Linked DNA regions of Drosophila melanogaster. The gene in region 2 interacts genetically with the main gene of each other region. Each region holds a gene or a part of one and is shown on either strand. Other genes may lie near its edges. The genes, in order: mor, asf1, Sin3A and Caf1-180.

What was found.
Region 1: of asf1 (region 2) and mor, changing one suppresses a phenotype caused by changing the other (phenotypic suppression), as found in Drosophila melanogaster (one study listed by BioGRID).
Region 3: of asf1 (region 2) and Sin3A, changing one suppresses a phenotype caused by changing the other (phenotypic suppression), as found in Drosophila melanogaster (one study listed by BioGRID).
Region 4: of asf1 (region 2) and Caf1-180, changing one suppresses a phenotype caused by changing the other (phenotypic suppression), as found in Drosophila melanogaster (one study listed by BioGRID).

The regions. Positions count from the first base shown.
Region 1 is NT_033777.3:15,967,601-15,974,828, forward strand, and holds mor (moira), read right to left. Parts: upstream 5,314-7,228; 5' UTR 5,213-5,313; coding exon 5,096-5,212; intron 5,005-5,095; coding exon 4,879-5,004; intron 4,699-4,878; coding exon 3,774-4,698; intron 3,724-3,773; coding exon 3,393-3,723; intron 3,330-3,392; coding exon 2,555-3,329; intron 2,493-2,554; coding exon 2,282-2,492; intron 1,995-2,281; coding exon 975-1,994; intron 911-974; coding exon 786-910; 3' UTR 534-785; downstream 1-533. Other genes in the region: Rbf2 (Retinoblastoma-family protein 2), read left to right, coding at 1-357.
Region 2 is NT_037436.4:19,617,012-19,620,901, forward strand, and holds asf1 (anti-silencing factor 1), read left to right. Parts: upstream 1-1,882; 5' UTR 1,883-2,167; coding exon 2,168-2,824; 3' UTR 2,825-3,387; downstream 3,388-3,890. Other genes in the region: l(3)76BDm (lethal (3) 76BDm), read right to left, coding at 1-753, 813-974, 1,269-1,434; ms(3)76Cc (male sterile (3) 76Cc), read left to right, coding at 3,596-3,681, 3,744-3,890. UniProt on the Drosophila melanogaster protein: Histone chaperone that facilitates histone deposition and histone exchange and removal during nucleosome assembly and disassembly. Cooperates with chromatin assembly factor 1 (CAF-1) to promote replication-dependent chromatin assembly.
Region 3 is NT_033778.4:12,586,117-12,591,013, reverse strand, and holds the start of Sin3A (Sin3A), read left to right. Parts: upstream 1-1,861; 5' UTR 1,862-2,298; intron 2,299-4,897.
Region 4 is NC_004354.4:8,601,592-8,608,169, reverse strand, and holds Caf1-180 (chromatin assembly factor 1, p180 subunit), read left to right. Parts: upstream 1-1,865; 5' UTR 1,866-1,981; coding exon 1,982-4,220; intron 4,221-4,283; coding exon 4,284-4,453; intron 4,454-4,515; coding exon 4,516-5,658; 3' UTR 5,659-6,033; downstream 6,034-6,578.

The DNA.
Region 1 (7,228 bases), on a different chromosome or scaffold from region 2:
GATATTATCACTTTCTACAACAGTGTGTATGTCCAAAGTATGGGCAACTATGGCCGCCACCTGGAGTGTGCGCAAACACGCAAGTCACTGGAAGAATCACAGAGTAACGTTGGTATTCTGACGGAAACAACTTCCAACGAATTGAGCATGAGAGCCAACATCAGCATATCTTCACCGCCCCCTCCCAGGGTATGCCAAAGTGGCTCCTGCTCCAGTCATCCACCTTCATCTCCCGCCGCATCACCACTTTCCTTGCAAAGCTCGCCCAACGTAAAGCGTGCTGCTTCGAGTAACGACTTGATGAGAGAGATCAAGCGACCAAACATCCTGCGGCGTCGCCAGCTTTCAGTGATCTAATAACCAATCAAAAAAGGCTTAAATACTTGGCTGCATTTTACGCAGCTAGCTTAGTATATTTCTTAAACTCAAAAATGGTAATTAAATAATGTTTAAATTATAGATATTTTATTAACTTGTTCAAGTAAGTTAAAAGCTTTTGCTTTTGTAAAAATAAAGGAATAACTGCCACTCGTAGTTTAAATAAATTTTTATTGAATGCCTATTTTTCGGCTTTGAAACTTGGTTCAAAATATTTGTGCAATTGCTTGTAAACGCGACCGGACACGAAATGAAACTTACACAAAACTGGAGACGCGTCAATGTGTAGTGCATCTCCTTCAGATTACACACAAGAGTTGGGCTTAAAGTGGAGTATACATAATACATACTGAGAGCGTACGACTTAGAGCTATTTACTTTAACGTTTCCTGGCTTATGAGTAAGAGTTAAGAAGAGGGAGCTACGCCGGCGATGGGAGCAGTGTTCGCCGGAGGAATTCCCCCTGGTGGCATTGCCGATCCCGGCGGTGCGTTGGCATCTGACACTGGACCGCTGCTTGGTGGTGTAGTATCTATGGCGGGAGTTGGATGTCTAAGTATTATAGTTTATGAATTGTTATCCGTTAAAGTTCTTACCCATGGGTGTAGGTGCTTGAGATTGCGCTGCTCCCGCTGCGACTGGTCCGGTTTGGTCGCTCGGATTCGTGACAATGGCCGTGGGTGCGCCCGGCGGGAGTCCTCCCGTGAGCGAAATCGGTGGCGCTGCAAAGGGAGCACCGTTGGGCGACGACACTACGTGCGGGGGCAACGGCTGGTGCTGGGCGGTGGGACCCGCTAGCGGTTGGGACTGCGGCGGCAACTGGTGCGGATGCGGAGGCAGCTGTTGCTGCTGCGCCAGGTGCGGATGAGGTGGCAGCGTTTGCTGTTGCTGCTGCGGCTGCTGGGCCTGTGGTAGCTGCTGTTGCTGCGGCAAGATCATTGATCCCGCGGCCGCCTGGCCTTGGAGCTCTTGCTGAAGACGATGATGTGCTTGTTGGCGCGCTCGGAACTCGGCTGCCTTTAGCTGCTCCAGGTGGAATTGCTGACGCTCTGTGATCAGCTGCTGACGCTGGTACTCCAATCCCTCGCGCTCTCGCTCCATGGTGGCCTCCAGTTCCTCAAAGTGGCGCAATTTGATCTCCAGCTTCTTCATCTGAGTCTCAACAAGGAGAGCCACCAGGGATTTGATCTTACGCTCCTCCAGGGCAGCCAGGTGTTTGGCTTTAACTGCTGCCGATGCCAAAGCTGCCGCCGCCGCAGTCTGCATGTTATTTTCGCTAAATGTTCCTTCCTTTGGCACCGCCAATGGCCCTGTTCCGGTTCCCGTTCCCTCTTTGGCCTCAGTGCCGTCCTTAGTTTCGCCATCGCCACTGCTGTCCTCCGTCTTGATGTCCACTTCGCCACCACTTGCGGCTGCTGCGGTTTCTGTGGGTGAGGATTTGTTTGATTTGTCTGACTTGATGGCTGACTTATCGCCCGAAGGCGAGGAGCCGGACGACTCCTTTGGTTTCTTGTCAGTGTTGTTGGTGTTGCCTGTCGCTGATGATGATGTGGAACTCGAGTCTGTGTTTGTGTTGGTCTTATCCGATTTTGTATTGTCTTTGGACTTGGCATCGTCTGTGGTTGTTGTTTGTTATTTGATGGTTGTGGTGTTGATGTAAGTTTGGTAGATTGGGCGCAACACAAAAACGAAACAATATACGAATACAGTGCCAAATGGTGAACAAATTGCGAATTTTGAATGAAAGCAACACAAGAGTTCAACAAGACAAACAAATGCAGAACCAACAATTGAGTAAATTCCCTTTAAAATCGATTAAAAGAAAACTCGCTCGACTTAGCGACTTTTCCCTTAACCAACATCCATAAACCCCCTTTACCGATCTCTAATGGCTTTGGCTTACCGTCTTTTTTGCTTAGGTCCTTCATTTCCTCATCAGAGCCGCCAGCGGATGCAGATGCGCCACCCTCCTTGCCCTCTTCATCGTCCTTGTCGTTTCCGGTTCCTGCGATTCCACTATTGGCCAGCCCAAAGTTCGGATTAAATTTACCACCTGCCGAAGCCTTCTCCACGTTTTTCAGGTGGTTGTCCATTATTGTAGCGGGCACCTCATCCTAGCATAAGTTTTACATTGGATGTTAAAATCATGGTTTAAACGTGACTAAAATGTAACTACCTTAATGGCTGCAAATTCCTCCATGGCAGCCTTTGCTGCTGCAGCGGCAACGCGAGGATCGACCACAGATGCCAGGAATGCGACGGTGGACATAATGGGATTGCCACTCTTGCTGAACGGAATGGGTTGGCAGGCCAAGGGGCCCAGGAAGCCACCATCATCCTCTAGATACGGGTCCTCGATGGGAAGTCGAAGGAAATGCAGAATGCACTCGTCTTGAGTGCGAGATCCAACGTGCTCGCAGACCTTGTTCCAGTCGTCCTTGTGCATTTCCAAGCCCTCAAGCAACAGCAGAGTCTCCTGATCGGTCCATTCACGAGCCATGCTTGCCGCCGTTCGATTCCTCATGGCCGCCGGCTTCTTTGCGTACTGATCCAGCTTGAGTCCAAACTGGCTCACTCCGGAACTTAATCCTCCGGCAGCGCCATTCTCTAGAGCCTCTGTCTTGATGCCAGTCAGACCACTTTTATCGCCCAACTCCAGGCCGCCATCTTTACCCAATGGCTTTTTGTCCAGATCCAACAGCGTCTTTGCCGCCGACGGCTGTTGCGTCTTTTGCGGATTTATGGACTGTAGACCTGATGGCGTATCCGAAAGAATGTGAAAGTGTGAGGTTGGTGGTGGACCCATAGGGGTGGGGCGGACATCCGCATCGATCTGGTAGTTAATCAGGCCCCATTGCTCCAAGAAGGCGTGTACTCGCATTATGGCGCACACATCTCCGGCAAGATTACGCCTACAAGCTGTGCTGGTCAAATACTCCGTCGGATTGAGCCTGAAATAGATGAGTAACATATTCAAAACTATTTGCTGCAAAAAAAATGGAGCTTCAACTTACCTGTACGTATCAATCATAAAATTCCTGTAGGCCATATAGATTTCTGGTGTCTTTGACTTATTCTTGCTGTTAAAGAATTCCGGCATGGCCCGTTTCTCGATCACATGAATGGAGTTGTAATCAAACCAAGCCGAGTACGAAGGCACGATAATGTGGTGCGTCTGCTCGGTCACATTGTCCTCCATATCCTCTTTGGCCGATGAAGAGAATTCCTGCGTGTTGCTGTTATCACTTGTCTTGCCTGTCTGCGAGTTTTCCCCATCTCCGGTAGACATGGCTTGAGCGGCGCTTCCTCCAGTCATTTCGTCATCCAGATCGGTCATAGTGCCACCTAGATATCAGTTTGTTTAGTCAATGCAGATATAAGATAACAAAACTTACCTTTAATGGGCATCATGTCGTTGTCGCCACGAGATTTACCGCCCGGAGCTGGACTGGCGGTGGACTGCAAGGCGGCATTTGCCTTATGAACCTCCTGAACATTGGGCTCGGCCGGCGGATCATCCAGATCGCGAGTTAAGTCCTCGTCATCATCGTCGTTGCGCGACTTTTTGTGCACCACGGCGGGAGAACGCTTACGCTTGCCCGGCTTTGAGGTGGATGCCGAACTGGCGGGAGATGGTGAACGGCGTCTCTTCTGCTTGCCTCCGCCCGAGCTGGCAGCAGGCTTCTTCTTCTCGTCGCCGAATGACATGATGTCGTCTATGGACATACGCTGTTTGTGCGTCTTCTTCTTGCCCTGTTCGTCAACCTCGTAGTCCTCCTCGGCCATCCACTCATTGTACTGCTCCAGGTCCACGATCCAGGATGCAGACACACGCCAACGTTCCGCCGGTGACTCGGGATTCTCCGGAATGTGATCGGGCAGGTCAAAGTTATTCACAGCCCAAGAATCGTAGGACTCGGGGAAGTAGTACCAATGCAGCATCACATGTCCGCCGCGCTTGAAAATGGGCCGCGCATACTCGTCGGGATGTGGGTCCACCACAGGATAGACGATATGGGTGGCGTCCTCCTCGTCCGACACAATCTCTACCCGTCGATTGTCCAGGATCTCGCGCAGTTTTCCCTCGAAGCCCTTTTCAATCTCCGGCCGAATATAGATGTACGGTATGCGATACAAGTCCGCCTCGACCAACGCCTGCTCAATCTCGATCAGCAGCTGGATGTTGGGATCCTTGCGCGTGGGATTCTTGCCAATGGAGAAGTCGAACTTCTTGCCGCGTTGCTCGGCCCGGAAACGGAACATGGTCGAGAAAATGATGCACAGACCACCGCCGCTCTTGAAGTCCAGAAAGCAACGCATCTGGTGTGGGTGGTACGATTATTAGAGATATGTTTTAATGTACGTAAATCATGTAGCTAAATACAAAATATAAGCTAGTGGTCCAAACATTTGGCCATTGGAGGATTAATATTTACGTGTACACACGCAACACGGGGCACCCTGTCCCCCTCACCAACCACAGGCACTATCAATACTAACCGGAATTCTGGTTGCCGGCGGATCCGCTGAGTTCTTGCCCAGCTTGGCTTCCACATACTGCAGGAAGTGAATGAGCAATTGGGCCAAGGACTCCTTCGTGATGGGCTCCGAACTGTGGGCCAAATACTGCAATAAATACGGTTGTGAGTAAATCGTTTTTTTTTCGCCGCCTGACAGCGCCATTTTTGTTTGCGGCGGCGTTGTTGTTGGCACGCACCTTCTTGCAGTTCTTCTGCAGCCACTGGCGAATCGATTCAAAGCCCTGCAGCGTCTCCGGCGACTGGAAAAAGTCTATATTCGGACTTCCGTCCTTCTTAGGACCCAGTGTGTTCATGTTGCGGCACTTTTGTGGACTTTTTGTCAATTATCTTTTCACTTTTCCACGCCAAAAAGCCAATAAACGCTGCGTTGATAAAATAGAGATGGTATTTAAATCGATGTTGTTGTGACAGTCGTTATCGATATTTCAGCTATCTCCACTGAAAGTTATCATTATTTTAATCTTAGGTTAGGTTAATATATAAACCTATTGGTTGGTGGAAGCCATATATTAAATAACAAGAAAACATATTGGCTGTTAAGAGAATTATATAGACTTCGAAAAAGTTATAGCTAGCTAACGTGTCAGTTAGCTTTACATCTCAGTGGGAACAAGCTATTATGTGAAAATTGCTGTTAAATTCAATAATGCCATCTGGTCACAGTGGCGGTGGTGCTGTATTGGCGTCCCGCTCGCGCCGCCTAAAAACCGATGCACCACGATAGTCAGGCCGCACATATAAATGCGACTCCATCGCGCTAACATGGCTGCTGGGAACCGAAAACTTAAAAATATTGTGCTGTCAGAGTGTGTTTGCATCAGCGTGAAGCCCAGTGTTAAGTTAAAACATTGACTGCCTACGCCCACCAACGACAATTGCCGTAAATCGAATTCTGCCGTTATTCGCAACGCCGGATTCCCATCCGTGTGTCCGTCGCGAGTGTGCCAGTGTGCGTGAAAATAAAAAGTCAATGGTGCGTGAGTGCGAGTGAGTAGGAAGAAAGCAAAAGCGATTGGATTGATTTGTGACGCTGCTGGCGAAAAGCAGTACCCAGTACCCCTTTCCTTGGGCCAAAACACACACATACGTACGGCTATAGTAACTCAGCATCGATTGTACAGTTTGAGAGCAAACAATTCAATTAGAAAATGCAGAGCGCATGAGTTGAATTGTGAGTGGGCGCCCCACATAAGCTGACTGCTACCGCACAACGAAGGGAACTAGAAAGAGGAGTGCGTAGTGCGGAGAGAAGAGCAAATGCGAAGCGAAGAGGAAGAGAGCGAGAGAGAGCAACCATTGCCAAAGGTAAGTGATATAACACTCGGAGATCGGGAGTGGGAATGCGAATAGGAACATAAGGAACCCCTAAATTCTTATCCTAGATTGCAACATTATTTATATGGCAGCAACTTATCGCTTCCGCTTGCTTGTGTGCGTGCGATAGAGATAGATAGAGTGGGGCCAAGGGGCTCTGTTTATTGATAAGAGAGGAGAGCGAGCGAGAGAGAGGGAGAGAGAGAGGAGGTGGGCGCCAACGCAGCAAAACAGCGGAAATCCTTTACAAAAACTTGGTCTACCACTAGCTCTTTGTCTTCGCCTTCTAGTCTCTCTCATCTTGGCAGCCCGTTCTAGTGCGCGTATTTTTAGTCGCAACACATTGCCCAATTCGCCAGCCGCTATTTGTGTCGTCCATTTGTTCATTCATCGGGCTCTTTTTCCGATTTCAGTGGGTGGCATTTAACAATAATCCCTGCGTTCGCTGTCCACGTCCACATTACGATACGTTTAGTGCACGGAAAGAAATAAGCATGTGGTTTCATAATATTAGCTATTGAAAAAAGTTCTTAAATTTAAGCCTCACTCGATTCTGATGCATGAAATATTATTGGATTGTAAATGAGCGTCATGTTTTGGTATACAAATCTCAAAGTAATTTAAAAATTCTCATCTTACCGTACCTTGAACCACTACCAATCATCTCAGTACAGCATTTCAGCGAATTTCTCACTGTGCACTACAATGCCAGGCGGTACAAGCACCTGTATTTATTTATGGTCCGCTGCCGTAATCGACTGCAGTCGCCGCTTCCCTCTCTCTTTTGCTACCAACAACTTGGGGTAGGGCACCTGAACTAGTTTCAAACGGCGGCGGTCGGCCTTTTCAGCTTTTTCGCATTTGCCATTTTCCCGCGGTTCGCAACATCAGCGACATTTGTCACAGTTTCTTAAAGAACATTTGAATATCCAAAGTTTACTTGCCGAACTTGACTGCGGCATTGCGATGATGATGCTGCCCGTTGTTTGTCATTC
Region 2 (3,890 bases):
CAAAGTGTCGTAGGTTGTCAATGTCTCGACTGGTAAGACATCCGCCGTGAGGTGCATCCGCCTCTAATTCATTTCCCCAAACATTGGGATTGATTGTTTGAGAGGCAATACTCTCGCTGCTGATGCTAAATTTCGAATTAATCGCCTCTGTGGCGCTTTCCTGCATGGGACTCAGCGGATGAAGCATGGCCAGATCGCTATCTTGAGCACTGACTCCTTCCAGGAGCTGTGACATTTGCATAGCAGGCATACTTATTACAGAAACCGCTTCCTGTGGCGATTTCGGTGCACTAAGATCAGTGGAGGGTAGATTTGGATCACTTTTAGGCTGTCTTTTAATAAACGTTGCCCAGTGATCTGGAACCTCAGCTGCACCCTGAGAATCCATCGAGTTGATCGACACCAAAAAACACTTGCTGTCTCCGAACGTGGATTTGAGCAGCTCGAATCCCTGCTGTGCTTTGGACAAGTCTCCCTGGCTAGCCTCGTGCAGCACTACGTAACTATTGAGGACCTCGGTGGGATGGAACCACTTGGGCAGTTTTTGGGGCGTGATGCTCTGCATCTGCTGCACACGTTGTCCCAGTTTGTGGGCGGTCTCCACGATCTGGGGATCTGCGCTGGATAGCACTAGCAAACAACTTAATAGATGGCGGGTGAACTCATGATCCGCCGGAAATTGCACAGTTAAAAAGGTCTCACGCCACTGCTCGAACCATGGTTCCGATGTGGGTAACTCAAGGTCTATGCCAGCTATGGGAGAATGGTAAATGAGTTACCAAAAGACATTTTTGCATCGCTTAAACCCTTACCTATGGTGGCCAGTCTGGTTTTGTCATTATGGGCGTTGGTCACAGACTCGTTGAGCATCTTCCTGGCCAAAATTGTTTGCGGCGGCCGCCAGTCCACATCACAGAAATTGAGACGGAGTCCACGCACCGATACACTCGTTCCGGACACGTCGCGAAAGTGTGCTAAAGAAAGGAGTACAAATGCATTTAATTTTTGGCCATTTAGAATTTGTTGGCAATTTAAGTTTATTATCAACAATGTTAGAATCAACGTTTACCAACTTCTGAGCTTTAAACATGTCATCCACACCATAACAACCCTTAAACAACTACTTTGTATGCAAAATGTTAAATAACCATGTCGAATCGGTTGAAAGTTCCATAGAAAAGACCTATTTTCTTAGCCGCGTCTATGCCTTGTTTACCTCACCCGCACGCCCCCTTACACACAAACCATTCACTATCCCATTCACTCACCATCATTTGGCAACTTTGCGAACGGCTGCAGGAGTTCCACGAAGGAGAGGTTGTTCCGGTGGCAAATCTCGTCCGCCTGTGGACTGGACAGCACGCCGATCAGCGGCGAGAAGATGTTCCGGATGATGTCGCGAGCATTGTAACTCTGGCCCGTCAGGTGCAGCATTACTCCAACTATTTACAAAGAAAATACAGAACACCACACAACAATTGCAGGGAGCAGCTGGAGATGGCACTTGATGCAAGTTTGTATCGAAACTATCGTTACTGGCAGAAAGTCGACAGCTGTTTTTTGCGCAGATATCGATCGCTCTTCCAATCAGAAAATATATGTTCCAATTTTTATTTGACTTGGTTTTTCTGAAGATCATTATTTTGTCATATGTGTATTTTTTGTAAACCATTCCGTAATGCCGCTGAAACTACAGCATCTAGGTTTTTTTTTATCGTTAATTCGTGTAAAGGCCAGTTGTAACGAAACGAAATTATTATTAGTATTTTTTAGATCTTGTAAACTCGTTCACCAATCGAACTATTGTCGCGTTTTGACATTCCGCCACTTGTCGTGGTGAGTTTTTCGCCACCACTTGCGACACCGAACGGTCCCTCTGAAGCGCGGGAAAGAAGTCAGCTGTCACCATTTGTGCGAAGACAAGCGGAATAATTGCGATAAATAAAAGCAGAATAGCGACAGACAATTGCACAAACCTGATTCATGTTGTAACCAAAACAAACTACTAGCATTACAGTACATATATCAAGTATTTGCTGAGCGTTTTGCAGGTGAATTTCGCAAAGCAATTCCCTAGTCGGACAAAAGCAGAACCTCTAAAAAAAGCGCGCAGTCGAAGGAGTCTTTAAAATATCGGTCTACGCTCTGCAATCTCCGAGGTACAGTCATGGCCAAGGTGCACATCACCAACGTGGTGGTGCTGGACAACCCGAGCAGCTTCTTCAACCCCTTTCAGTTCGAACTCACGTTCGAGTGCATTGAGGAGCTAAAAGAGGATCTAGAGTGGAAGATGATCTATGTAGGCTCGGCGGAGTCCGAGGAGCACGACCAGGTGCTGGACACCATATACGTGGGACCTGTGCCTGAGGGGCGACACATCTTTGTCTTCCAGGCGGATCCGCCAGACGTCAGCAAGATCCCGGAACCGGATGCGGTGGGCGTTACCATTGTTCTGCTTACCTGCTCCTACCGCGGCCAGGAGTTCGTCCGCGTGGGCTACTATGTGAATAACGACTACGCTGACCCGGAGATGCGCGAGAACCCGCCAACAAAGCCTCTTTTCGAGAAGCTGACGCGAAACATCCTGGCCAGCAAGCCGCGCGTCACCCGATTCAAAATCAATTGGGACTACGGGCACATCAACGGGAATGGAAATGGCGTGGAGAACGGCCATCAAGATGAGATGGCCACCGATGGACCGTCCACATCGGAGGCGGCTTCAGCAGTTATCCATCCCGAAGATGATAATAGTTTGGCCATGCCAATGGAGAACGGAATCAAGGCCTTGAACGAGAACTCCAACTCACTGGCCATGGAATGTTGAGAGCTGCCGGCAGTCCGAACAATGACCACACTAACACACTGTCTCTCACTTAAACCAACATGGGCAACAATGGATAACTTAGCACTCCTGGTCCTCGTCCCTCTTTTTACTTCTAAGTAACTAAGATTAAAGCAAAAATATATGTATACATTAAATTATTTCACAAAACATGCATTTTCTTAGCTATATTTGACTTTTCTGTGCGCACTTATTTGTGTTTGAAGAATGACTAATACGTTCATGGCAAAGTTCAGTTGGCCGTGTTCAATAGAAATGATACCCTTTTTTTTATTAAGAAACTCTATTATCAATTATTGCACTTGTACAGCATTAATGCCTAAATAGAAATAATAAGCATATTCTTGAAAGAAACTCCGTTTTCAATAATTGAATTTTGTACAGAACTGATTTTTTGTCTAAATGATTTATATGATTTTTTTGTTGTTTAAAAACAAGTTAAGTAAAAAATGGGAAAAATTCACATCAGATTGGAAGAGAAATTTAATATTATCAGGACGGCATTTTATTATATTTAATTATATCTAAAAATATTCATAAACCTGAAACTTTGTTTTATTATAATTTTTTATATTATTTTTTTTTAATATAATCTTTGACTACACATTTTCTTGAAATTCCGTTAAATCAAATAATACTGGATCAATTCTTCCTTTGTGCAATATTCAGCAACAATTACATTAGAACAAAAACAGAAAAAAACTCAAATCTCAAATCTTTGCTGTACAAAATTTAAGTAACAGACATCTTAGGATGCCTATCAGCCAACACGATCTTGCCCGTTTTGCCAGCGCCCCGGGCAGTTGCCCTCGGATCAGCATGAGCAACTCGAGCAATACGTGGAGAGTACTCCAGAATTTGTGAAATGCTTAAACTGATCCATCCTCCTGATCGTCCTTAGGTATCTCAGCTATTCGGATCTAGATCTGGGCAGCAAGTTTTGCGGCGGAGGATCCCTGAGGACGGAACCTAGCTGCGATCACTGGAAGTTCTGCGAAAAGGTGCCCAATCGCTCAGACGTGGAGGCCGACTCATTGGGCTGTCCTGT
Region 3 (4,897 bases), on a different chromosome or scaffold from region 2:
TCAAGCCTTCATCATTATATTATTAAAACTTGAGTGTTAAACTGTATGTTTAAATATACTATGTTATCATTTCAATAAGTATTGAATTAGTAAACAACACTGAAGCCGTTGTGTTCAATCGTGTAAGCCTATTCCCAAATTTATAATCGTTATTTTAATTTAAAAACCTTTTAATTGCTCTTAATTTTGATCCAACACGCATTTTGGCTCACCGGTAAATTTGTGTATAATCTTTTACATAAAGAAGAGGGTTCTCTAATCCTTAAATGGATTTATAGTTTTGATGAGAATTAATACTAAAGTTAAATATTTTATAGTAAAGTTTTCCATTTACTGTGTTGTCAATTTTTTAGGACAAACAAACAATAAATAACAAAAAGTTTTTATCACATTAAATATCATGTGACTCAAGAGAGTTAAAAACATCTGATAATTTGCAGAACACGTACGAATATCAAACTAATTAGTTTTTTTTATAGAAATGGGTCCGTGTGACAGGAACCTCTTTACCACATTTCAGATATCACTTGATCAGCGTCAGTTAATATTTCCTAGTGCCGCATTCCATGACAGATCTGAAATTAGCACAGGAATAATTAGAACATGCTAGACCACCTGGCTTTATTATCAATAGAAAAAAGCATCAATAATACCCAATGGGAGGGCAAACAAACCTTCCTGCGGCGCCTGGAAGTCGGAGAGTTTGGTTTGTGCCATTTTTTTGTTTGGTCCAGGGACTTTGGTGCACCTCGGACATGCGCTGCACCCAGTAGCTAGTTAGTTGCATGTGAACTTTGAACTTTCGAGCTGGAAAGTGGAAGGCGGATTTGCATTTCCTATCGCTGCAGGTGTCTCACAAAGAGAGAGGCTCTCTCGTATCCTCCGCCCCCGCTGCATTTTTTTCATTGCGCAATGAGCGAGACGAATCGATAACTGCAAGGTTTCCATGTTTTAGCAGCTCAACTTTTGCGCGTATACAGATTTTTTGTCTGTATTATTTTATTTTGTGAAGGAGCTGGCCGCCGAATTCAGTTCGATTCGAGATGGGAACATGTGTTTTTATGGTTCCGCCATTGTCATGGTGAGATGCACTTGCTTTTTTTTGTCTTCATATTTTTACTTCCTCTCTCCGCACGCACGCGTCTGTGTGTGAGTGCGCTGGCGAGTGAGGTGGTGGAGGAGTACATGAGTGTGTAAAGTGTAGCCGTGGCAGAGTTGTAGCTCGCTAGTGGTCCGTTTGGTTTCTGATTTTCGGTTTCGTCGATTTCACATATGTACTGCAATGGTCGGCTAAAACGCTCTGCCGACGTCGCTATCTGCTGTATACTCGTTGCGCTTGTGTGGGTGCGCTGCTCTCACACCCGCTCTCTCTCTTTGGCTCAAACAGGGTGTCTTACCCAGATGTTCTGATCATCGTTTCCACCACATGGCTGGGTGACAATGGTACACCCTGTTTTCTAAACAACTTGTTTTCTCTCTTCCCAGCGTTGTTGTTGGTCCTCGCACTTACGTAAGCCTCACGTATTTCGTTTCTTATCCAAATTCTAAGCGCCATTTTGCGACTATTTGCATGCGGTACCGCTCACCGCTAATAAAAATAACCACTGATTGTGATTATTTGCTAATAGGTAATGAATGGTATATAAACTATTTTTGCCGTCAGCTACTGATGTGTTTTCAACGCGCTCGACGGAGGATTTTAGTTGTTGCGCCGTTGAGTTGCCACCCTGTTTTAGCTGCGGCAGCAGAATAAAATGAATTCCAAAGCAACACTGCGCGCGCGCTCTCACGCTCTCCGTTTTACACTCATTTCGCTCTCTCTGCTGACTCCAAATGACTGGCCGTCGCGTTTCGCTGTTTTAATCGAAAATGTTTGCGGCGGCGTTGAGATGTACGAAAACGTTCTCTCGCCAAAAATTTGTGAATAGAATAGCAGTAGCAATCTATCGAGAAGAAAATGTCTTAAATTCGAGCCGTGTGATCTAGTTAAGGTCTTAGAGCCAAGTGCAAATTGATTGAAATAAGCGTTAAACTTAAACTGAACTGGAGAACGAAGCCCCAGCTACTGAAAGAAAAGAAAACGGTGAAAATAAAGATTTCGGTGTGCCAGTGAGTGCGAATATAGTAGTTGCATGTGCAAAATACTGCGTAAAACGTGAAAGTTTCCAATAACACCACAAAACCAACGGCAGTTTTGTAGTAAATATACATACGCGCCCCGTACATATATACATACATTTCGAATATACATACACACAGCCGAATATCAACCGACGAAGCTAACTGCTTATTGCTGATGTAAGTGTAATATGGGCGGTGGGCGGTTGTGGGGGGCGTGAAAATTGCAGAGTAGCATTATCCTTCAAGTGCACTTGGAGTGCGGATTCGAGTTCAAACAATATTTTCGTTCGTGCCACTGAAAACTTGTGAAAATACAACATTTTTAGGTTAGGTCAATTTCAATTGGTTTATATACACACGCACGCACAAACTCACACACACACAAACAACAATGGCATAGCGAATACATATAGAAGGCGCACAGACAAAAAGTCGTCGACGGGGACGTGGTTGTTGTTTGTGTTGCTGCTGCTGCTGCCTCTACAGTTTCTGCTCTCCTCACACACAGTTGAACACAGTTGTGGAGAGGAGAGCCACACTCATACATACGCTTTGAACCATTGCTTTTGGTTCGCTTATGAACTGACTGTATTTTTTCAACGTAGTGTCGTTTTATTTTCGTTGTTGATTCGTTCTTTGCTCAGTTCGTGCGCTTATCTTGACTTTTGCTTTGATGCGCCATTCGCATGTACTGGCGAGAGCAGCCTAGTGTGAGTGTGCATTTAAATGGCTCCCCAATGAGAGCATCATTTTGTGGCCCTCTTTTTGTTCAGATCTTCCTTTTGCTCCTCTTCTTCATGCTCCCCAGCCCATCCGTCGTTTGTTGTTCTTGCTCCGCCTGTTTTTTTTCATTCGGTTTTGAATTTACACAAAACGTTTGCCGTTGCTTCTTCATGCTGAAATAGTATATATGTATGTGAATATATTGTACATATTTCTCTACACATCCATATGTTTTATTTGCAAAATTTATTAATAGCGCAGCGCCACTCCGCGGCTGTGTTAGTGCGCCAGAGTGAGAAAGTAACAGTAAAAAACTAAATATTAATTCGCGTTGATTCCGATTCGTATTGCAGTTGTTCAAAACCGAGTGCTAGTGATATTTGCAAAAAATTTAACATATTTTCCGCTGGCTGCCTTTTGTGTTGCGTATTCTGCTGTGCTGTGTATACACATAACAAAACAGATAAGATAACATTATACGTGTGCACGTAATAGAGCGGGCTGAATCAAAAAAAAAAAAAAAGAAAAAATGGAGGGAAAATTTGCCCACATGTCTCCCCAAAGCACACACACGCACACAACGCCCCAATTTGGAGCCTCTCTCGTCAAACACTCACACACACCAGCAAGCGAGTAAATGTGTTTGGTATGCACTAATGGCGGATCCAAAAATACAATAACAACAAAGACAGTTGGGAGAGCTCAAAAGAGCGAACTTGTTTTACCTTCATTTATTAAAGGATAGTTGGTGGTGGCAGAGACAGGAGAGAGAACGAGGGCTAAAGCTTTTGTGCGGCTGTACTGTGCTCCAATATTTGTTTACAAATGCTAAAAGGGGGCAGCTGTTGGTTCGATGGGGTGTTTCAATTAGTTGGAGCAGGATGATCCTCTAGGCGGTTTCCATTCACCTAATATTTGCTCGCGGTCTTTGGTTTGCGCAGCGTTGCGCTCTCTTCATTTTTGCCGCTCTCTCTCTCGAATGCCCGCCAAATGCTTGCTGTGTCCGTGTGTGAGTTTGGCCCCAAACGGGTGAAATACCTTTTTGAAAAAAAAAAAATCATCCATATACTGCGCCTCAACAACAAATGCGGCTCTCTCTGGTTCTCTCTGTGGCTGCACCACCACCACCGTATCGCCACCACCACCTTTGCATTGTTGCGTTTGCTGCTGCTGTTACCTCTGACTCTTCTTCTTCTTATTCTTGTAAGTTGTAGATACAGAACATGTACCAGCAGCTCTCACACACCACCCGCCCGCCCCCTTGGCGGTATCGATATATAAATATTTTCTATGTGTGCGTCTGAATTCTATGCAAGCCGATGTCGTGCATGGGGCATTTGGCACCTTCCACATTCACAAATACTGATATGTACACACATACACACACACTCGGAGGTGTACACAGAAAGCTCGCTTAGGAAGTTTTTACTGTACCGCTGAAAGCAATAACAAAGCGCGCGCCCAATTCCGGTTGAACGTACACACACTAAAGTGAATTACGCGCTCCTCCTTATGCCTTGCACTCACTCTCCTCCAAGACTCAACTTCCACTCCACGATCTCCTTCCCGTCTATATGTATCAATCTCTGGTTGCTGTTGTTGTTATTGGTCACAGCTCCACTGCTTCATTCCATTCCTATTGTCCCTCATCTCACTCTTCTCCCCCGAATCCAGAACACCCAATACAGAGACACCGTTCTCCACTCTGTAGTTTTTGTGATACGGCTAAAAGAAGAATTCCCCCGTGGCTTTTTAGTTCACCTTTTTTCTTGTTGAAATATGCAATCGTTCCGATATCTGTGAAGATATAGACCGAATTGATCAATCAGCTGTGCTATACTAGCTAACATGTTTTGGGAAAATTAGCAAGACTCGTGGTCTTTAATATATGGAAAAGTATATTTGGCATATTTGTCCTTTCATTTCAGTGTCAGTGAATAAATTCTAGTATTAATGTGTAAGATTGTTCCAGTAATGCAGAATTTAATGATGACTAACTTCATTAAAAATAGACCCAAACCTAATTCTTGGGGGTTTTTATACATTTAATGTC
Region 4 (6,578 bases), on a different chromosome or scaffold from region 2:
AAAGGGAAAATGGGACGACTGATGCCTGATGGCCACGCCCCGCGACATCCCCTGCCATTTCACCACGCCATTCACCACCACCACCACCCGCCCGAATGGTGGGTGAGGCGGCGGAGGGGGCCGCTAATAGATTTTCTATTACCAGGGGAAGGCAAGGACGCTACAGGATACTGGTTACCGGGTACCGGGTACTGGGTACTCGGTATACCGCACCCGTTCACACGCATGACCGAATTCCCATTTTACGCCCCGTCTCTTCCGGGGCCATCGGTCGTGGGCCAAAAGTCCCAGCGGAATCGATGCGGCATTATTATTATTATCATTATTAAAGGAGTCGATATGTGGCGATGGCAAATCCCGGCCAATGCGTATAATATGCCACATGTCCAACCCACTACATCTGAACCCTCCCCCACCCCTCTGATTTTGTTGTATATATGTACATACATATATATTTAATTTTTCCAAAGAAGCCACAAGCGGCGACCGCAATTTGTATCTCATGTGAATTGGATTGCACATGTCAGTATTAGTCATCAAGATTTGCACTTTAGGGCCGTTGCAAGTGTTTTGTTTAAAAAAAAAATAATACTAATAGTTAGTACCCACAAATCACTTAAATATGTATCAATTCTATCTGATTATTATCTCACACCAGATTAATCAAATCATTACTTTTCTTTTGAGTTTACAAGCTAGGAGTACTTCATGGGATAATAAATCCAATGCATCGAAGTGCAATTGCAATCAGAATTATGCGCATGCACACAGTATATATGTATGTATAATCACAGAGTAGTTGGCGCCCCCAAATCCATCACCTCCTCCTCCTCTCTCCCCCCCCCCCCCCCCTTTGAGCTGTGTGTACGTGTTGGCCTATTGAAACAAATTGTAATTAAATGAAATGTATTCCAGGCCGCTGCGACGCAGGCTGCAGCCGGAGGCAGGATCTCTCATTCTCCCTCGGTTTGGGTCACCATGTCAACCAGGTCGCCAGGTGGAAAGGGGTCAACAGTGGCTATGACTGTGGCCGCAAGCATTTTTCCACTTATCCGGGATTAGCAAAAATGCCACATTAAACTAAGTAAACAATTATCGACAGTGGGGCGATATTTGTTAGCTGCATCAAAAGGTAACAATAACTACGTACCCAATCAACCTGATAGCTTGCAGAAATGGAATAAACTTGGGAAGACGACAGTATTTAATTGTATTTAATTATTCACAAAAAGCTCGCCCAGGGTGCACAACAATTAGCATTGTGTACTTTCGCTTGCATGAGTAGTTTTCAATGTCTATTTCAATTTTATTGCTCACTGTTCTGGAAAAGAAATTAATAACAAAACATTAAGAAAACGGCATTGACTCTAATTTGATATTCTTGTAAACAATATAAACTATTAAAAGAAATAAATCTTACAAATCTTACAAAGACATTTTTAAGTTTCTCCACTTCGCTATTTATGTTTTAAAGTCTCCACAATTAAGCTAAGCCAATAAAAAGGACACAAGGATATTCCTCTTTCTTATCTAAGTTCCCCACCTCCTCCGATCACAGTTTAATTCTCCAATTTGCCATAGTTTAATTCTCCAATTTGCCATAGTTTGACTCTTCACTTTGCCATATTAAAGACTTCTACCAAGACTAAAGTCTCCACTGAAACAATCAAAGGATTAGTGGGTAAAATTATCCACGGGAATAATCTACTACCACTAATCCTTTGATTATGGAGACTTTAGCCGTATGCAGGATCACTCTTATCATAGTTTTCCACCACTCGATCGCTTGCCAACACTGATGCACATTATATCGATCTATCGAGCGCGCGATCGGATCTATTGGCGGCAAAGCGCAACCGCAACTGCCATCGCTAGTGTGTTTTCACCGCCTTTTTTATTAAGCGAATAACAAGTGAAGATTTGCTGGGGGAAAACAGGAGCCGCAGGAAACAGGAAACAGGCAGACAGAGAGTACAGCAGAATGCACGCTGGCGTTGTTAAGACGCCGCTCAGCGGCAGGAAAAAAGATGCGGCTGTGCCGGCCAAATCAGCGGAAAAGACGGCCAGCGGTGGCAAGAAGTTCGTGCAGACGCGTTTGCCCTTTAAGTTATTAACGCCAGGCGGTGGGGCGGTGCCCACATCCTCCTCCTCCTCATCGTCCCCCGCCACTATCGGCTCTGGCCCCGTCACTGTAATCCTGGATGAGGACGATCCCGCTCCGCGCAAGCGAAAACTTTCGTACGACGATGAGTCGCCATCGGAGGGCACTGGCTGCTCTACGGGGCAACTGCGACGTTCGACCAGCAAGGAGAATCTGGATCTGGCCAGTTCCATAGCCACTAAAAAGGTCAAGACCACGGATTCGGTAGTGGAAGATGTCATAGAACTGGATGAGGACGAGGCCGACAAGGAGATAGAGGACCAGGATCAGTTGGTAGAGGCCAAGTCCTCCAAGGAGGTCAAGTTGAAGCCCAAGAAGTCGGAGGGCAAGAAAGGCTCGCCGGCACCCATACAAATCAAGCTGCCATTGGTCAACAAACGATCAAAGCGCAGAAAATCCCTGAAGAAATCTGAGGAACCGCTGGAGACTTCGACCGCGGATGTTGCCAAGGGGGACAGCGAGTCCAGCGATGACATAGAGATTATCGCCGAAGAACTGAACCCCCAGAAGAGGCAAAAAGTACAAACGCCGCGTGAGAAATCCCCAGAAAACAGCTCTACAAGCGGCAAGCACACGGAGGAGGTCATGCAGAAGAATGGAAAGGACTCAAAGAAGCAGGAGGAGTCCATGAAGGCGGTCAAGGAGTCGAAGAAGGAAGAGCCAAAGACCGCAGAACAAAATAAAAAGAACGATCAGGCCACAATAGATCTCTTTATGGGAAAGAAAATGGAAACTAATAAGAAGGATAAACCGGAGGTCAAGACCACAGCTAAAGACAACAAGAAAGATCCACTGATTGCAGAGGATTCCAAACCAAAAGAAGTCCCTAAGAAGGAAACAAGCAAAACCGGAGGAAAAGGCAAGAAGGAGGGAGCAAAACCAGCTGAAAAGAGTAAGAAAGAAGAGAAGGAAGACAGCACAACAAAGTCAAAGAAAGAGAAAGCAGACTCACCTGCAAATAATCAAAAAGAACAACAAATTGGAGTCAAGAAAAAGACTTCTGAACCAGAAGATGCATCGAACTCACACAAATCGGTGACGGCCAAAAAGGATTCCAAGAAAGACGAGGCATCTACTCAAGTTAAGTCGGACAACGAATCTCCGGAAGCAGCAGAAATCTCGATGATCCTCTCGACCAGCGAGGCCAACAGTTCCAGCAGCGAGCACGAGATGGATGCGGATACGGACACCGCGGCCACCGACAGACCCTCCGCCCAAAAGGAGACTCGCCTGAACAGGAAGAGTCTGCCGGAAGTAACCGGCGCCCCGAAGGGTCTTACGCCCAAACAGCAACGACTCATGGAGCAAAGGAAAAAGGCTCGCGAGGAGAAGGAACAAAAGCTGGCGGAGGAGCGTCGCCTCAAGCAACAGGATAAGGAGCACCGCGAGCAGCAAAAGAAACAGGAGCGCGACGAAAAGGAACAGCAGCGGAAGCTGGAGAGGGATCAGAAGGAGCAGCAGAGGAAGATGGAAAAGGAGGAGAAGGAGCGCAAGCGACAGGCGGAGGTGGACTCCAAGAACGAGGAGAAGCGCAAGCGCAACGAGGCCAAGGAGGAGGTGCAACGCAAAAAGGACGAGGAGCGTCGCAAGAAGGAGCAGGAGCGTGAGGAGGCCGAGCAAAAGAAGAAGCGCGCCGCCGAGTCCTTCTCCAAGTTCTTCGTGCCCAAGCAGCCCAAGTGCGGCAGCGGATCCAACAACACATCCTACCTGGAGCACGAGCAAAGCAGCTGCGACAGCTCCAAGGCCAGCAGCCAAACGCTGGCCTTTCGACCATTTCAGATCAAGGACGACATGCTGCTAGCACCGATCGTGCGCAACTCGCTCGGCCAGGAGCAGCGCTCCCAGCTAGATGGACTTTTTCGACACCGGGACGAGGAAGCTGACGACGAGGAGGAAGAGGAGGAGCAGGACATCGTCAGACGAAAGCCGCCGAATCGGGCTAATCTCTATCTTAGTGAGTTGAGCAGCGGACGGCGCAAGCCGCTCAAGATGCAGCGCGATGTGAAGCTCCAAAGACGCACCAAGGACGAGGAGGATGATGACGATGTTCAAGTGATAGGTAGGATATGGCTGCAAGATATTAAAGAAGCATTTGTTCTTCACCAATCATCTGCATCTACAGATTACCTTTCACCGGCGGGTCTGCCCATCGAGGTGGAGCAGCCCAAGCAGCTGACCCGAATGAAGGCCAAGTATCTGCATTTCGCCGACAACCGGAGGCCACCGTACTACGGCACCTGGCGTAAAAAGAGCAGCAGCATCTCCGCCCGACGCCCGCTGGCACAGGATAAGGTATGGATCACTTCTTCTGGCTTAAATATCATAACACAAATATCAATAATCATATAACGCAGGTGCTCTTCGACTACGAAGTGGACTCCGATTGCGAGTGGGAGGAGGAGGAGCCGGGGGAATCGTTGAGCGCTAGCGAGGACGAGAAAGAGAAGGAGTCCGAGGAGGAATCGGAAGAGGAGTACAACGAGTGGTACGTGCCGCACGGACATCTCAGCGACGAGGAACTGCAAAACGACGGCGACGGAATGGAAGACGGCCACACGCGGGAGGCGCAGAAGGCCAAACTCCAGGTGCTGCAGCAGGAGTTCGCTCAGGAAATGAAGAAGCAGACGAAAAAGATCAAGGCGCGCCTGTTGGGTCCCGTTTGGCTGGACGAGAACGGCAACAAGTCCGAGCTATTCCCAGCTATCTTTGCCCACACCATCGACATGTACGCCTGTTGGCAGGTGGAGCCACTCAGCCTAGAGCCTCCGCCAGAACCGGAGCGTCAGGATCAGACGCCAGAGCAGCCGGTGCCGCTGCAGCTGGACGATCGTCTCATGCAGCAGCTGGTGCGCCTTACCCACGGCAATCGGAACTCGAAGACGTTCCTGATCAACGAATATTTAGAGTACCTGAAAACCCAAGCGACCGCCGAGGCCAATCAAACAACGCTGCCCTCAAAGGCTGTGCTGCGCGAGAAATTCGACGAGCTTGCCAGCTGGAAGACCGTGGAGCTGAGCACACCCGAAGCCGCTGCCGCCAGTGCCAACAGCGCCAAAAAGGGCAGGAAACCGAAGAAGCGCCTCTGCTGGGTGGTCGCCAGCGATATGCTGGAAAAGTTCCAGCTGCCGGATCTCCAGTTGCAGAATCAATGGAACTACACGTTGACGCCCAAGGTTAGCGACGGACCAGATGCAGCGCAGCAAGAGCAAAGTCCACCAGCGGATGCGGTACCAGCCGCCTCGCCCGCTTCCAACCAGACCACAAACTCGGCACCCACAACGCCCATCAGTGGACAGACGCAGGCGGGTCAGGGCGTCAAGAAGCGGGCCACCCTGATCATGTCCGTGCCCAGGGATCAGCCGATTCCCTCGGCCACCAAGAACAAGCTGATTAGCCAGTTTCTGCAACGCCAGAGCGATGCCAGCAAACCCAAGGAGAAGATGCAGGAGAAGCCACCGCCCATTGTCTTCGATGATGTGGTGATGCTCTCGGATTAAGACTAGGATTAAGCTAGATCCCCTAAGGATCTTCCGCTTCCTGCTAAGCGAGTATTTTAAGAATACACATTTTTTTTGTCGCTAGTTTCACTCGTAAGTTGATTTAATTTTAAATGTTCCGATGTACGTTCGACTTGTATGTCCTTCTCAGCCAACCCATCCCCACCAGGGTCACCCCTGCCCCAACCAGCATCCCACCCACTCGATCGCAAAGTTTTTAAGAAGTTGAGCAACAGAAGCTCGCAGGATTGCAATTTTCATTGAGCCAACTAAACATATATAGTATATATGCAATAATACACTACCTACCTGATGATGATCTTTCATTTGATGGCGATTTTGGGTTCGCATTGGAAATATATAGACACAATACATAAATCTATAGCTACATTTTTCATTTCAGTCCCAAATTATTGGGGGTTTCTTGGTGGAAATCAGTGGAAACAGCGCTTGAAGTTATTTTTAAAACTTGTTTGTTTATTCTTTTTGCCATTTTTGTTACGATTTACGTTTCAATTAAATGAATTATTTAATATACATTTAGTTAAGATTCCCGACAAAAAAAATTAGAAGTGTGTGTTTGGGGATGTGTTGTCTTTAAAAACGTGGACGTGAACGTGTGTCGTACCATTAGATCTGCAAGAGTTAGAGTCCCATCTACATTTAAATACGATTATCCGATTATCCATTAATTATTGCTATTGTAATCGTTGTTTAATTGTTATCTGCCGTCGATATTAGTTAACCGCCGCCCCCCGTTTATCCTCCTTCCCACGTTCCCAAAAGTTTGCTATGCTAACTAAAAGAGCCGAGCATTGTGAGGAAATCTCAAGTTAAAAAAAAAGTGCGTTTACACAGGCGATTATTTTTGAAATAACCGGATGGTGGAGAGGATGGAGCCGCGCAGGAGAAGAGGCTGG